Linked DNA regions of Mus musculus: regions 1 and 2 are each reported to be linked to region 3. Evidence: microRNA targets listed by miRTarBase, many of them from high-throughput screens and not tested one by one. Region 3 holds a microRNA gene; each other region holds the end of a gene's coding sequence.

Evidence for each region. The annotated mature microRNA mmu-miR-3473a reads UGGAGAGAUGGCUCAGCA and lies in region 3 at 3,751-3,768, opposite strand. An mRNA with a match to its seed (bases 2 to 7 or 8) in the 3' UTR can be bound and repressed. Matches are read on the target gene's strand: a 7mer-m8 pairs with bases 2 to 8, a 7mer-A1 pairs with bases 2 to 7 and ends in A, and an 8mer does both.
Region 1: the mRNA of Thada is a reported target of mmu-miR-3473a. Seed matches in the 3' UTR shown: 7mer-m8 at 1,324-1,330 and 7mer-m8 at 2,013-2,019.
Region 2: miRTarBase lists Hoxc8 as a target of mmu-miR-3473a. Seed matches in the 3' UTR shown: 8mer at 744-751.

What each region holds. Positions count from the first base shown.
Region 1 is chr17:84,187,886-84,192,949 of GRCm38, reverse strand. Thada (thyroid adenoma associated) reads left to right here. Exons shown (of 38, transcript NM_183021.3): 38 at 619-2,894. The coding sequence ends at 999. It overlaps Zfp36l2 (zinc finger protein 36, C3H type-like 2), which reads left to right and starts at 5,003. Exons shown (of 2, transcript NM_001001806.2): 1 at 5,003-5,064. It overlaps Gm36279 (a long non-coding RNA gene), which reads right to left and starts at 762. Exons shown (of 4, transcript XR_385852.4): 1 at 678-762.
Region 2 is chr15:102,992,487-102,997,550 of GRCm38, forward strand. Hoxc8 (homeobox C8) reads left to right here. Exons shown (of 2, transcript NM_010466.2): 2 at 77-1,768. The coding sequence ends at 369. Gm29905 (a long non-coding RNA gene) reads right to left here. Exons shown (of 2, transcript XR_384486.2): 2 at 4,846-5,064. Among named protein-coding and RNA genes, the nearest start is that of Gm29905, 3.1 kb to the right of the region's middle.
Region 3 is chrX:162,871,170-162,876,242 of GRCm38, forward strand. It overlaps Mir3473a (microRNA 3473a), which reads right to left and starts at 3,826; the gene lies at 3,749-3,826. Syap1 (synapse associated protein 1) reads right to left here. Exons shown (of 9, transcript NM_025932.2): 5 at 1,346-1,485.

The DNA.
Region 1 (5,064 bases), not on the chromosome of region 3:
TCTTCCTGAAAACTGAAGACCAGCATAGGCAACCTGTGTTTTCCACTGGGAAACCAGCAGTCTGTCCCCACATATGACCACTAGCTAGCTCCATATCCTGAGCAGACCAAGAGTCAGTGTATACCAACCCTTCAAAACCCAGTCTGTATAAGAAACAGGAAGATGATATAACAAAGTGTTTTAGATGAAATGACCCTAAACCCCCATAGCATTCTAGAAATTTTGTCTCTTTTGTGCTGCTATCACACATGTCCCAGTAACTCTCTGCTCTGCTGTCCAGACTTCCTTTGTGCCTCCTCTGAATTTTCTCGGCACACCTTAAAACCTAAGATTTTTCTCAGTACACCTTAAAACCTAAGACCCACTTCCGCACCACCAGTTCCCCAAGTATCTTGGCTTGGAGCTAATTCACATCTTTATCAAAGGTCGTGGTCCGGCTGGGAGAGAGGTATTGAGTGAAAGTAGAAGGTGACCTTCAGAGCGGCAAGTGCTGTGGCACGGGCGCTGACAGCCCCAGTGGGCCCTGTCAGGAATAGACACAGCTCCCACATCTAGTGCTGTGCCTGGCTCCACAGGACTCCTCGGAGACTTACTCTGGCTGTTTGTCACTTGATGTAGGGGGAAGAAGAGCATATCTTTGAAAAATCAGAAGTCAACTTCTGGGCTGAGACTCTGACCTTCGTGAAATCCCTGTGTAGGCAACTCTTCCATCTCCTCTGTCAATCTGGCTGGCAGTCCCCTCACTCCCAGAAGCTCTGTCACTTGCAAAGGATAGCATCAGAGCAGAGTCACCTCATCTCTCAGCTCTTCAGAGAACTTCCACTCTCAGCTGAGTTTTTGAAGACAGTGGAATACACGAGGCTGCGCATTCAGGAGGAAAGGACTTTGGCTGTCCTGAGGCTGTTGGCCTGCCTGGAAGGAAAGGAGGGTCTCAGAGCCGAAGACTGCCCTAGGGAATGGAGACAAGTAATGGCCCCAAGAACAGAAGCAGCATGCTGAAGAAAGGTGGCTGGGCCTCAGCTCAGGTCTGCAAGACACATACATGGTGGACACCAATTGAAACTCTTTTCCTCAGGTGCCTCCCCACTTCTGGGAGTCTAGGCTTCTGTCCCTTCCTACTGAGGACCTTGTCTGCAGCACACTCATTCAAGGCAACCCAATTAGTTGCAGCTACCTAGGAAGTGAAGCTGCTGTCTGCAGGTTTACTGTCTCCAGGTGCAAGCCACCTGCAGGCCTGAACTAGTCAGTTCTATCCCAAAGCCAGCGCCCATTTCCCCATACACTGACTGCATTGAATTCAGTCTTAGCTTACATGTCTCTCTCTCTCTCCCTCTCTCTCTCTCTCTCTCTCTCTCACACACACACACACACACAGTGCTCTTTCTCTCTCTCTCACACACACACACACACACAGTGCTCTTTTGTTTGGTTTTGTTTAGCAAATACCTATTTGGTCATATTTATAAACTTTTATTCCATTTTAGTAAAGGGTATGTTTGATTCTGGGAATATTAAGAACCTACAACATGCAAATACTTGCATTTTACTATCTACCTGCCCAAGTCCTTCAGTGGTCCATATTAAGAGTCCCCACTGTCTTACCCAGAAATGCCTGCGAAGGCTAGGAACCCTTGTCACCCATCACTGGCCTCAGCTATTGGACAGAGCCTGGGGAAAGGGAAGCCTGAGCAAATGCTTAATTCATTCGGTGCCACCACTGTACACCGTCCTGTGATTGGTGGAGACAGCAGAGTGCCAAGAAACACATTTACCCACTTTAGGTGATTCCATATAGAAACCGGAAGGGTTTGTCACTTCAGGCCCAGCCCAGCTGGCATCCTCGAACACCAGCAGGTGGCGCTCTTGCACACATTATGCTGCTGGTCTAGCGCTTTTAGCCTACTCTTTTAAAACTTTTTAAAACTATTATCAGCACCTGTACATGATAGGAGGGCACCCATGCCCCAGCATGGATGTCTGAGGAAGTTGAGGGACAACTTTATAGAGCCAGCTCTCTCCTCCCGCCTCTGCATGGGCTTCAGAGATCGACTCAGGCTCAGGCTTGCAGAGCACGCACGTTTATCCACTGAGCCGCATCATGTGGCCCAGCTTACCATGCTACGTGTGCTTCCAGAGTACGTGACACCCGCAGACGCTTGCCTTCAATTCACGGCGTGGATGTGTTGCTGTAGTGTGATCCACATTCCCAGTTATCCACAAAGACCATGCCAGCCATAGAAGGAACTTGTAGGGCCTATAGCTATGTTCAGATACTTCTCAGTGAGTAGTCACTTAGAATCATGAGGAAAAGGGAGAGAGGCATTCTATATGCTAGCTCCTCCTGCAGAGACGCTGACATTTCACATGTAATTGGTCTCAGAAGAAAACCATCCTGCACCACAGAAACACGGCTGTGCTGGAGTAGAGACCTGTACGCAGGGAGAGGGAAGTCAGGAGCTGTGTCCTTCCTGGCCATGAAGAGGAACAGAAATCCCCTGGGTGGTCTTAGAAACACTCAGCACCCTGGGGTCTGTGTGGCCCTGTAGTAATTACCTAGTTAGGCAGTGCAACCCACTGCTGATGAAAAATTGAAAACCTAACATTGTTTAGTTTGTTTTGGGCTTTGCTTTTAGTTTTCTGAGTCAGGCTTGCTATTTACACTAGGCTGGCCTCAAACTTGTGTTAATCCTCCTGCCTTTGCCTCCTGAGTGCCAGGATTCCAGGCATACACCACTATACCCAGCATTACACTACTTTAAGATCTAGTTGGTGAGAGGGGCTGGTGGTGACAACCTTGGGAGATTAATTCTGAACAGGACCCAACCTTCCCTCTCCCCTTCCATCTAAAATGAAATAAAAGCAGTTACATGACAATAAAACCATCTCACATTGGCAGGCATGCTGTCCCAAAGCATGTTTCAGAGCAGGCTTATGTTATCTCCAAGTCCATCCTACCAAGTCTGCCATTAGCTGGGACTTACCCCAGACTTGGATCTTGGCTGGCTGTGGCCAATCTGGGAGGACAGGAGGGATGGATGGCTCCACAGGTGGGCTTGTATCTGCAATCCTGCTAGCAGTAGCTAGGGGAACGACTGCTGCATGCTTTCCTGAGAGAAACCAGGAAAACCTTAGTCACAGCCTCATGCTTACATTTGGGGTCCTTTCAGCCACAGAACCCAGCAGTAATAGGGGCAAGAGCAACGTGGGTGGGAAGAGTGAAGCAGCCATCTTCCCTAAGTCACTACACTTGAGGGTCCTAAGATCTGGGTGGCCCCTTGCTCAGACCACAGCCAAAAGCCAGTTTGCTTTAATATATAAGATGGTGAGGGCTTTGTTCCTTTATAGGGGTATGGTCTCACTCTCACACTAAGCTGTGCAAGGCTAGCCTAAAACTCACCACAGTTTGTGATTAGTGCTAGGACTATAGGCATGAACCACCGTACCCAACCCACTCAGCACTACGTCCAAGACACTACAGTCTTCTGGCAGCCATTGGCTCTACCTACAGGGGCAGCATGCACTGCAGTGTGGCCAAATGCACCTGGACTCAGGAGCCTTTGAGTGACAGATCTACCTCCTTAGCTTCAAGGTTAACTGATACAGCCCAAGTGCACACTGGACTGGGTCAACCAGACAGGAAGAGCAACATGGGAAGGATGTAGTTGGTCAAGCAGCCTTCTCTGGCAACTACTGGGCCTTCCACCCAGGGCAACCCGGACTGCCAGCTGGGTGAATTCATGGGCCCAACTCCAGCTTTTGGCAGCCAGTATGAAGTGTAGGGATAAAGGGTTCTGGACCTGACCAGATGGGCCTCACGGGGTGGGGGTGGGGGTCGCTAGGTGTGTGGAGGTGTGTGTGTGTGAGACCCCTCTCAAAAAGAGCCAGGGGCCTTCTGGGACTGCTTTTTCCATGGAAAGCTGGTAGGAGTTGCACTAAAGGCAACCGAATGAGGACCTCTTTCCCCCAACCTGGGTGGTGGTTCAGCAATCACCGCCTCGCCTCCGGCAGCTCACACAAAGCTTAGATTCAATGCCGCGCCTCCCACAGCAGAAGGAGGAAGGTTGCAGGATTCGACAGGCCAAGGCTGTACAGGCGGGAAGCCTTGGCTAGGAGCTGCACCCACATCCCCGAGAGGAGGCCAGGCCAACCAGCAGGCACAAAGGTGAAGGAAGTGACTTCCTCTATGTCCACACTGCTCCTCCGACTTCCCTCTAGTCCCCTGGAATAGGCTTTCCCGCCCCGGACACCCCGCGCCACTCGGCGCCTTTGGCCCAGGCTCAAGGTCTTGTGATGTGATTAGCAAAGCCAGCGCCTTGTCCTCAGACACTCGGCTCTGCCCCACAGGCCGCAGCGCTCAAGTCCTGTTTACTGAGCCTGGGCGGGGAGAGGGGCGGAGAAACGCGCCAATGCTCCTCCAGGCTGGCCGCTCCCGCCCCCACCCCTACTGCGTCTCCACGTGCAGCCGGGCCGGAGCTGCCACCTACGGGACAGGCCGCGACCCCCGTTCCTAGTCCCAAGCAACTTGGCCAAGCGCACCATTGCTGTTTTGCTGTTCCCGCGCGCGGAGCAAAAACTAGGATGGGAGATAAAAGCTGCGCCAGTCGGCCCAGCCGGATCGGGCGAGGAAAGGCACGTCCCGGGTAGCCCCGTCCTGGGCAGATAGAACGTGTACGTGCTTTCCAACGTTATACTCGTAGAGGCGGAGGAGAGCGAGGTATTCCCGCCGCCGCCACCCAGCAGGACCCAAGGGGGCCGCACGCCCCACGCCGCTCGGGACGCCCAGGCTGCCCGCCCCTCCCCTCCCCTCTCCTCCCCTCCCCCGAAGGGGAAAAATTGGCGGCGACCAATGAGAAGCCGAGAAGGAGCCTGACGTCCGCGGGCTGGCGGGCGGCGTTGCCTGGAGACCCCGGCCGGTCAGCGTTCAGTCCCCTCCCCCGGTGCGCTTTGCCCCGCCGCCGCGCCGCTCCGGGGCTGTATAAAGGGCGCACGCTCTCAGGTCTCCGAGTTCCACCAGTCCGCGAGCTGCCGACGGCTCGGGCGGGGGGCGGGCCGGGGCGCCGAGCT
Region 2 (5,064 bases), not on the chromosome of region 3:
GGGAAGTTTGTGGGGCTGTGTTGGGGGGCGGAGCCCCCACCCAGACATAACCAGACTGGGGTTCTGTTCTGTTCAGCTCCTGGGCGGCGCAGCGGTCGACAAACTTACAGCCGGTATCAGACCTTGGAACTAGAGAAGGAGTTTCTCTTTAATCCTTATTTGACCAGAAAGCGCCGGATTGAAGTCTCTCACGCCCTGGGACTGACAGAAAGACAAGTGAAGATTTGGTTCCAGAATCGAAGGATGAAGTGGAAAAAGGAGAACAACAAGGATAAACTGCCTGGGGCCCGAGATGAGGAGAAGGTGGAAGAAGAAGGGAATGAGGAAGAGGAGAAAGAGGAGGAGGAAAAGGAAGAAAATAAGGACTAAGGAAAAAAAGAGAGAGAAAATCAGCCCCCCCCCCAGCAACTCCCTTGAAGTTTCGTTTTATGGTAGCAGATAAATTGAGAAGTTTACGACTGTCATTTGCTTTTATAGAGAATAGAATGACACTCACAACTCTAACTACCTGTCAGATAGTTGCAGCTCTGCTTTTATTACCTTTGGGCTTCCCCCACTCTTTATTTGTCTGGGGGTTGGGAGGGGGAACCTGAGACACAGGGAAAAGTTCTGTTCTACTCCATGCCCAGCATACACTCTCTTGTTCCTGCTCCCACCTTCTGAGCCCTTCCCCATAAAGTCTAACCCTTCACACACACACACACACACACACACACACACACACACACACACACACACACACTTCTCTCCACACTCCCTCTTCACGGTGCTTCTCTGGTATTTATTTTAAAAGGGATTCCCCTGAAGATATAGAAGATGATTCCTGGCTTTGCTTGTATGCTGGGAATTAGAATACTGGATAAACAGTTTTTTTTTAATGAAAAGAAAGAAGGAAAAAAACAGGAAAGGGGGAAATGAAAGGAAAAATTAAAAAGAAATAAAAGATAGCAAAGAAGATTCCCCTCCCCCTCTGAGGCTCTTTCCTTAGAAAAACCCCCTTGACTTTCTCCAGGAATCTGCTGGAAATCAAGGAGATGTGGGTTTCTCTACCCACCTCCTTCCTGAGGGGTCTATTAGAACTGGCAATGGTCTCTGAAATCCTACCTATCCATCCCATAGTCACTTGGGTCCATGCCTTCCTTGCCTTGCCTTTGCTGTTTGATCTTTTGGGCCCCCGGCTTCCTCTGAGCTGTGTTAGTGTTTGTGCTCAGAAGTCACCATAATCATGAAAATAATATACTGATAATAAATCTTTAACATACTACCTAAAGGGAACCTGCAATAATCTTGGGGGAAAAAAAAAAAAGAAAGAAAAATTCCTAATACAGGAGGGAGAAAAAAAAAAAGAAAAAAAAAGAAAAAAAAGAAAAAAGGAAGAAACCTCCAGCGTATTTTATCACTACCTATAGAAAGAAATCCTGCTTTGAGAGTATTTGTAATGCGGTTTTGTTGTTGTTTGTTGCTGCTTCTTTCACTAAGAAAAAAAAAAATCCCAACAACTGAGACTGCCTAGCCCGCCGGTCTTGTGCGCTTTTATTGTGCTTCTAACCCCAGTAGAGTAGAACTAAACTGCACTGAATGTATAGTTACTCTGTCTTGAATTCTCTGTTTATGCAATGTGCTCGAAAGGAAAAAAAAACGTTAAAATATATCTATAATAATAATTTTGGTCATTTGTCTTTATGTCCAGCTATGAATGTAGATTTTGTGTCCTGAAAGCTCTGTTCCTGGTCCAAGTACTTTGTATTGTATACGTGAGTCATAATAAAAAAAAAAGAATTAAAAAGTAGAGCTGGAATGACTTGCTGTTTCTCTATAACTCTTCCCCATTTTCTACTCCTCCCTCTCTTTATTCCCTTTCCCAGCTCTGCAAAAGGCCCCGCACTGATCTTGCTTTGGGTGGTGGAACTTGGAAGTGGGGTGGAGAGGGCAGGCATAGCAGGTAGGGCAGGTGGCTAGTGGGGGGAGGAGGAGGAGGAGGAGGAGGAGGAGGAGGAGGAGGAGGAGGAGGAGGAGGAGGTGAAGAGAACATCTGGAAGGGAGAAGGAAGAAGGGTTACTTACTTACACTAGTCTTAATAACCAATGAGGTTTGTAGGTATTGGGACCTAAGTGGGAAGACAGAACTCATGCTTTAGCTTCCTGGTCTCTGGGCTGGGTCCATATAAAGAGTTGGCCCTATGCTCTTCCTGTGACTATGCCCTTTCTTTCAGGGTTTTAGGCCAAGGGTGAGATGGTGGGGGTTCTTTTCTGATATTTACATGTCTCCCGCTTGTGGCCACTCCTTAGCATCCACTACCTCATACTGAAATAGTGGATGGGGTTGGGAAATTATGCGGTTAAAGGTAGCTGCATAGTCAGGAGAGTTCGGTTTGAAAATGCCAAAGTGTAGTGGTGAGGGTGAAGAAGCTTCTGCCTGGGGCAGAGGATAAAGGAAGGACAAATGAGTAAGATAGAGTCTGCACCCTGGAATTCAAATTCAACTAGCATAAGGCTGTCATGGCTACTCAGCCCTCTTCTGTCCACATAGCCTCCGTTTTTTGGCCATTTCAAGCCAGCTCTTGGCTGGCTTCACTCTGACAATTGAGCAGCTTGCCTGGCCACCACAGTTGGGACTACTGATTTGGGAGGATGGCCCTGCTGAGTGGACAGTCCCCAAGCCCAGCCACAGTAGGGCAAAGGGAATCTTGACATTTTCTAAAATAAAGAGTAGAGCCCAGCTACTAATGGGATCATTCTGGAGGGTCCTAGGCAGACAAATCTGTTTATGCCAATAAAATTCTGCTCAAACCATTCCAAATTCCAGAGATACAAGGAGGCTGGCTCAACCAGACCAGAGGAAGAGGGGAGGGAGGGTGGACTTCTGGCCTTCAAAGACAGACCACCAAAGACAGAGATATTTTTGAAACCAGATCTTTGGGTCAATGTTTTTTAACCTAGGCCCAGGCCAAGTGTTTCACCAGGGTCCCAATCTCTGGCCCCTATAAAAAGGCCTCAAAATTTGTCAAGTGATTTTCCTAGGGCTCCCGCAACACTGCCTGTGAACCAGAAAGGACAGCTTGGGGATAACTTGAAGTAGAACCTGCCAGGAAATCTGTAGAATTTGGGGTCCCTGCTGGCAACCAAGTGATCACATTTAGCTTGGGAGACATGGGGTGTTGGCCAGGGAGGTCTGAAAACATTTCACTTCCCACCAGACTCTGTGGGAACCACAGAGGAAGACCCGTTTCATTTTTTTAATCATGAGATTATGATTGCTATTGATAAAAATAATAATATCCTGCCCTGAAGAAGAGCGGTATGACTCCCTTATCAAATAATTCCGAAGGGCCTTGCTGCTTCTCCCCCAACACCCCGCAACACCAACCCCTCATTCATTCCTGCCCCTGCTCAGCAATGTCCATGGCCCCAAGCCGTCGCGTCGGAGGGCGGGGTGCGTCTGGCGCCCGGCTTCTTTGGCAATGTCGGGCAGCCAGAGGGTTAGACCTAAGGAGCCCCTGCGTCCCCTTGTGCGTTACCCACTCCCCGCTTTCCCTGCTCACCACTTCAGTTTTCTCGTTTGGAAAGAAAAGGAGGTTAAAAACCCGTTTTATGGGGGAATGTAATTGCGAGAGCGGGATGCGCTCTTTAGAAATGCTTGCTCCTAAATGCTGCCGTCGTCCCATTACCGAAATGGGTACCATTCCGTTTCTGCAGATACGACTTTCTCCCATTCTTTACTTTTTTTATTAGCCAATCAAAGTGGCTTCCGAAAGCTATTTGTGATTTGTGAAAAATAGTATCTTTCAAAATGCTGAGTTGAAGCATCTCGCTCATTTCGCCTTGGATTTATTATTCTAATCTCAACGGTAAAGACAGAATGATGCAGCTATTAAGTTGGGGGGCAAATTCGTTTCTCGGGATTAAAAAAAAAATCTTCGCACTTTCCTCCTCTACTGTTTCACTGAATGTCCAAAGAAGATGCAGGTCTTGGAGAAATCTGGGGCTCCAAGGGAAGAAGTGTGTTGCTGAGGGGCTCCCAGGGGACCCCTTGAAGGAGAGGGTGGGTTGGCTTCCCCAGTTTCATATTCCTGGCATGAGATGCCCCAGAGAGTGTCTGAAAGTTGAAAAGTCACCCCCAGCCCCAATTAAAGAGGATTCAGGACAGGTTGTGTGCCACAATCTGGAAGTAAAATTTCCGGTGAGTTACCCGGCAGTGCTGCCCCATTCTTCCCGCTGCCATTGTGAAAAGCTGGGCCACCGCTTCCTCGTCGTAATTTTTAACTACCTGTTATAAAATTTATGGGTGGGTTTGTAAAAGGAACAGGTCTCTGCATCCGGCTGAGGGAACTGCTTTACTTACTATGGAGGAAGTTTGGGGAGGGGATGAAGGGTCTTCTGTTGGCTGGCTGAGCACCCAGCCCTTGAGAGTCCCTTGCCATCTCAATGCCGATCAAGGAAAGAGCTGCCCGATTTTAGATCTCCAGCCAATGGGGAGTGGCTGGACTACAGCTTAGCAAATATTCTCTACAAGGTAATTTATACTGGCCTCCCCACACTGCACTTATTACCAAAATTGGAGGTCTGAGGAAATGGGGTGCATAGACTTTTAGAGTAGAAGGCAGAATTCAGAGCAGTAAATGGCTCTCTTATGGGGCCTGCAAACTCTGAAGCCAGATCTCAGCTGCCTAGACGCTGTAGGAGATTCCCCTCCACCCCCTGAAAAAGACAGGTGTTTGGGTAACCTAAAAGGGTGAAAAGGTTTCAAAGAGCCTTGCTCCTCAATTAAAAAAAAAAAAAGGAAAGAAAGAAAGAAAGAAAGAAAGAAAGAAAGAAAGAAAGCTAGAAAGAAAGCTAGACCAAGATCTTCAGCTTTAACATTGTTTTTAATTAATTTTTTTTTTTTTGAGGATTGAAAGTTGCCATTAATATCTGGAAAACAAGATGGCCTGAAGCTAGGCATAGTCTTGGGTGCAGGGAGTGTCATTCTGTCTGAGAAAGGGACCACCTGAGAAATGAAAGTTATTTTAAGGAGCCTTGAAGCTGCACAAAACTCTCACCCCTTCTGCTGCCTCCAAAGGACTGC
Region 3 (5,073 bases):
AAGGGAATGGAGCCCATAACCCAGAAGGCAGAGCTCCAACCAGTTTCTGAGGAAAGTTTACAGAAAGAAGATATTTGAGAGAACTATAAATTGTACCCTTGGGGAATGGTAAAATTTTGCAACCATGAAATAAGGATTAAGGACACTCTAGAAGGGGGACACTCACAAAATAAAGAATACCAGATTTCGTTGTTTTTTAATTTTACTTTTTCTAGATAGGGTTTCACTGTATAGCCCAAGCTGTCCTCAAACTCATAGTGATTCTCGTGTCTCAACTTTCTAAATACTGGGATGACAAGTGCAAGTCATCATGGCCTGTCTTTGGCTTTGTTTAGAAACAGGCTCTCCCACTTATGACCTAGGCTGGCCTCTTACAACCCTCCTGCCTCTGCCTCCCAAGTACTAAAATTATAGTCTTGAGCCAAGCTCTGTTTTGAAAGCTGGCTTCAAAAATATAAACAAAATAATAGCAATGACAATCATCATCATCTTCTTCCCCTTCCCTCTGACTAAGCTTGAGAGCTCAGGCCTGTAAACCCACTCATGTAGGAGCCTGAGCAGGACTGAAAATTCAAGGCCTGCTGAGGATACACAGTGACTTCAAGGCCCAGCTAGGCAATCTAGTAAGACTCTGTCAAAAAGTCAAAAAGAGGTCCAGGGTTATACTTCAATGCTAAAACAATTGCTTGGCATGAGCCAAGTCCTAAATTCAATTTCCAGTACTGCAAACACAACAAAAACCCTCCAGGAAAGTCAGAGGGACACAAAGCCCCAGGGACGCTGCAGCAGGGAAGACTGCCCTCTGCTGGCAGACCAGTGACAAAGCATCACAGAATATTGCTTGCTTTGGAGCTTAAAGGGCACCTGGGATTTTATGAATTGGGATGGGCCTTTCTTTGGTTTAAAACAAAACAAAACAAAACAAAACAAAACAAAACAAGCAAGCACAGCTGTCGCAGAGCATGAATACAAGCCATGGGAGTTCAGGGAAAAGGCAAGCCTTTACAAACCCGATTTGATTTGGGTCTATTTGTTGTTTCTGATGGAAACATGTTCTACTGTTTAACTGGGCAAAAGAGCACATATCAACCTGACTTTCCTGCCAAGTCTGCCCTCTCCTTCCATTCTGGGCACGCAGTCAAGCTCACAGGGCCTCTGAAGGGCTGCAGGGCCTGTTTGGATGAACAGATAGTGTAGGGAGGGTTCTGGCCTTCATTCAGTGACTCTTCCCTAACATTATGCATATAACTAGAGCCCTTAGGAAAGTGAAATCACTATACTACTGTGAAATAGAAATTACCACTGCAGGAGTGAGCAGTGTTTCTTTAGAAAACATGGTGCTTACAGTTTAGGAACAAGGGCAAATCTCATCTTGCTTAGTAGCTCATCCTCTTGGAGCATGACCAGGGCAACAGGGTACATCTGATCAAAGTCAAAGTTAAACTGCACACCAGCTGGTGGGTCACGGAGGAAATTCCTCTTGTCCTGTGATGAGAAATGGAGGCAAAAACCATTAAAGGGGGTGTCTTAATTGCATTTTATGACAAAGTATCATGGATCGATATACTGAATTTTAACAGTCTTCAGTCACAAAGTCCACTGAGCTGTCACTGACTGGCCCACTTAAATGAGATAGGAGAACAATCCATCCTTTCATGTTTTTTTCTAACACTCACCTGGACAGAGGCTCCCAGGAAGCCAGACAGTTCACTCAGTTGATTGAAACAACATAGTTAAAAATCATATAAACATGTAATAATCATATAAACACCTTTAGGTTTAGAAACATTCTAACTCAAGGCCAAAACACAGTGTGGAACATGCCTGTAGTCCCACCACTTGGGCAGTAGAGGCCAGGGGGATTAGGACTTCAAAGTCAGCATCGTCTGTACAGAGGTTTGGAAGTCAGCCTGGGTTACATGAGACTGTCTCAAAAAGACAAAACCTAAGCTGGTGAGATCACTCAGTGGGTAAAGGTGTTTGTCACCATGCCTGATGATCTGAATTTAATCCCTAGGGTCTTTGGAATGAAAGCGAGGATATGGGCTGAAGTGATCGCTCAATGGTTAAGGAGCACTGGATGCTCTTCTGGAGGACCCAGGTCCCACTAAAATCACCCCCAGGGCAATTCCCAATGTCTGTAACTGCAGTTCTAGGTGATCCGACAACTTCTTCCAGCTTCCTCAGGCATTGCATCCAGACATGCAGGCAAAACATCCCTACACGGAAAATAAAAATTAAAAACCAGGCCAGGCAGTGGTGGCGCACGCCTTTAATCCCAGCACTTGGGAGGCAGAGGCAGACGGATTTCTGAGTTTGAGGCCAGCCTGGTCTACAGAGTGAGTTCCAGGACAGCCAGGGCTACACAGAGAAACCCTGTCTCGAAAAACCAAAAATGAAAATAAATAAATAAATACCAGAAACAAAGCAACAAAAAAAAGAAAGCCATCACCAGCAACATGAACCTCTGCAAAACATTCAGAAAAGCATGGAATTGAAGATCTGGGTATAGTATTGATGTCTGTAATCTCTGTACCTGGAAGGAGGATTAGAAATTTAGGGCCAGCAGCCTCTACTATAGAATGAGCTCAAGGCCAGCCTCAACAAAGTAAAACAACACAATACAACACAGAATCCTACTAGTTACAGATAATTTATGGTTCAATGTAACACTCCCTTGGGTCCCTATGTCTAATATATGTGGTGTCCCTGCTAGTGATGAAAAATCTTGGTTGTCAACATGACAACATCTGGAATCAACTAACACCCAAGCTGGCAGGCACTTCGGTGAGCAATTTTATGAATCAGACTATTTGAAGCAGAAAGACCCACCCTAAAACTGGCAGCCCACATATAAAGACACAAGAAAAACCTTCTTTTTGCCTGTTTGTCCTTACTCTCTACGGCAAATTCATCTATTCTGTTGCTGCAGCTGGTATTAAATAAAACTGCTTTAGGATTCCCATGTAGACTGAGACTAGCAGCTATCCAGGAATCTTCTGGGACTGTAGCACCAGACAGGGATTGCAGAGACATCCAGCCTTGTGGAGTAAATAACTACTAGATTTTCAAGCTTTACACTCAGACAGTTGTTGAACTATCTGAACCAGGCTAATACATCTACTTTCAATATGCATATTTACTCTGTCAGTTTTTTTTTCCTTGGTGTTTTTGAGACAGGGTTTCTCTGTGTAGCCCTGGCTGTCCTGGAACTCACTTTGTAGACCAGGCTGGCCTCGAACTCAGAAGAAATCTGCCTGCCTCTGCCTCCCAAGTGCTGGGACTAAAGGCGTGCGCTACCACGCCCAGCTCTGTCAGTTTTTTTAAAGGTTTATTTATTTAACGTATTGGAGTACACTGGTTGTAAGCCAGCCATGTGGTTGCTGGGATTTGAACTCAGGACCTCCGGAAGAGCAGTCAGTGTTCTTAACCACTGAGCCATCTCTTCAGCCCTATTCTGTTAGTTCTATGCCTTTAGAGAATCCAGCAGGTAAGATTTGCCATACGTAGGAAGGCAGGCAGTCCATACATTGTGATAGCTACCACTTTTTAAAAAATATCTTGTTTGATACATAAGGCAATTCACTTTAAAAAAAAAGTTATTTCTTTTTTTTATCTGAGTACACTATAGCTGTCTTCAGACACACAGTAGAAGAGTACATCGGATCCCACTACAGATGGCTGTGAGCCACCATGTGGTTGCTGAGAATTGAACTCAGGACCTCTGGAAGAGCAGTCAGTGCTCTTAACTGCTGAGCCATCTCTCCAGCTTAAGACAATTCACTTTTTAAAAATATTTTCTGGGCTGGTGAGATGGCTCAACAGGTAAGAGCACCCGACTGCTCTTCTGAAGGTCCTGAGTTCAAATCCCGGCAACCACATGGTGGCTCACAACCATCTGTAACGAGATCTGACTCCCTCTTCTGGTGTGTCTGAAGACAGCTACAGTGTACTTATTACATATAATAAAAAAATAAATAAATCTTTTTAAAAAAATATTTTCTTTCTTTTTTGTAGGTTTTTATGTGTATGGGTGTTTTGCCAACATCTATGCCTGTGCACAACATGTGTGGCTAGTAACTACAGAGGTCAGAACAGGGTGTCAGAGCCTGAGACTAGAACTTATGAATTGTTGTAAGCAGCCATGTGGGTGTTGGGAATCAAATCTGAATCCTCTGAAAGAGAACCCAGTGTTCTGAACCACTGACCAACTCTCCAGTCCTAAGTTTTTGTTTTAAAAACAGTCTCCTATAGCAAAGACTAGCCTTACATCCTCTATTGGAGGATAACCCTAAACTCTTGCTCCTCCTGACTGCTGGGATGACAAGCATGAAAGCCGACTTTCTTTTCTCACTCAAGGTCATGAACAACTTTCCAGCTCTAATGGCTATATTAAATGAGCACTAACTTACCATAACTTACTAAACCAGACCTGTTTCCAGAGTCATTTTAGTAGTTTCTAACTTTTTGAAAGAATTCTGAAAGCAGGGTATAGTGGCATACATCTGTCACTTGGGAGGCTAACACTGGAGGACTGCTTAGAATTTGAGACCAGACTGGGCTACACATTGAGTTCCAGAATAAGACCTTATTTTTTTTAAAAAAGGAGAGTCTGTATTCCTTTGTAAAGTGAACTTTAAATTAAAAAAATATATATTTATTATCATTATTGTGTGTGTTGGGGGGAGGTAGAGGCACACACCCCTGTGCCACAGTTTGTATGTAGAAGTGAGAGGACAACATAGGGGATTTGGTTCTTACTCCATTTTATGAGGGTTCAAAGGATTGTACTCAGGTATGAGTCAAGAATTTTCTTTGTTTTTTTTGTTTGTTTTGTTTTTGTTGTTGTTTTTGTTTTTTCGAGACAGGGTTTCTCTCCTGGCTAAGTCAAGAATTTTCTTAACCCACTGAAACATCTTGCTGGCTTATAAAATAATATCTTTAGAAGAAATTCCTAGAACTGGAGTTTTGACTCCATGAGTACAGTTATTTCAATGACCATTGCCCAGGCTTTCCTGTGGAGGAGGCAGAAGTCAAGGAAGACTCACAAATTTTTTTTTACTTATTTATTAT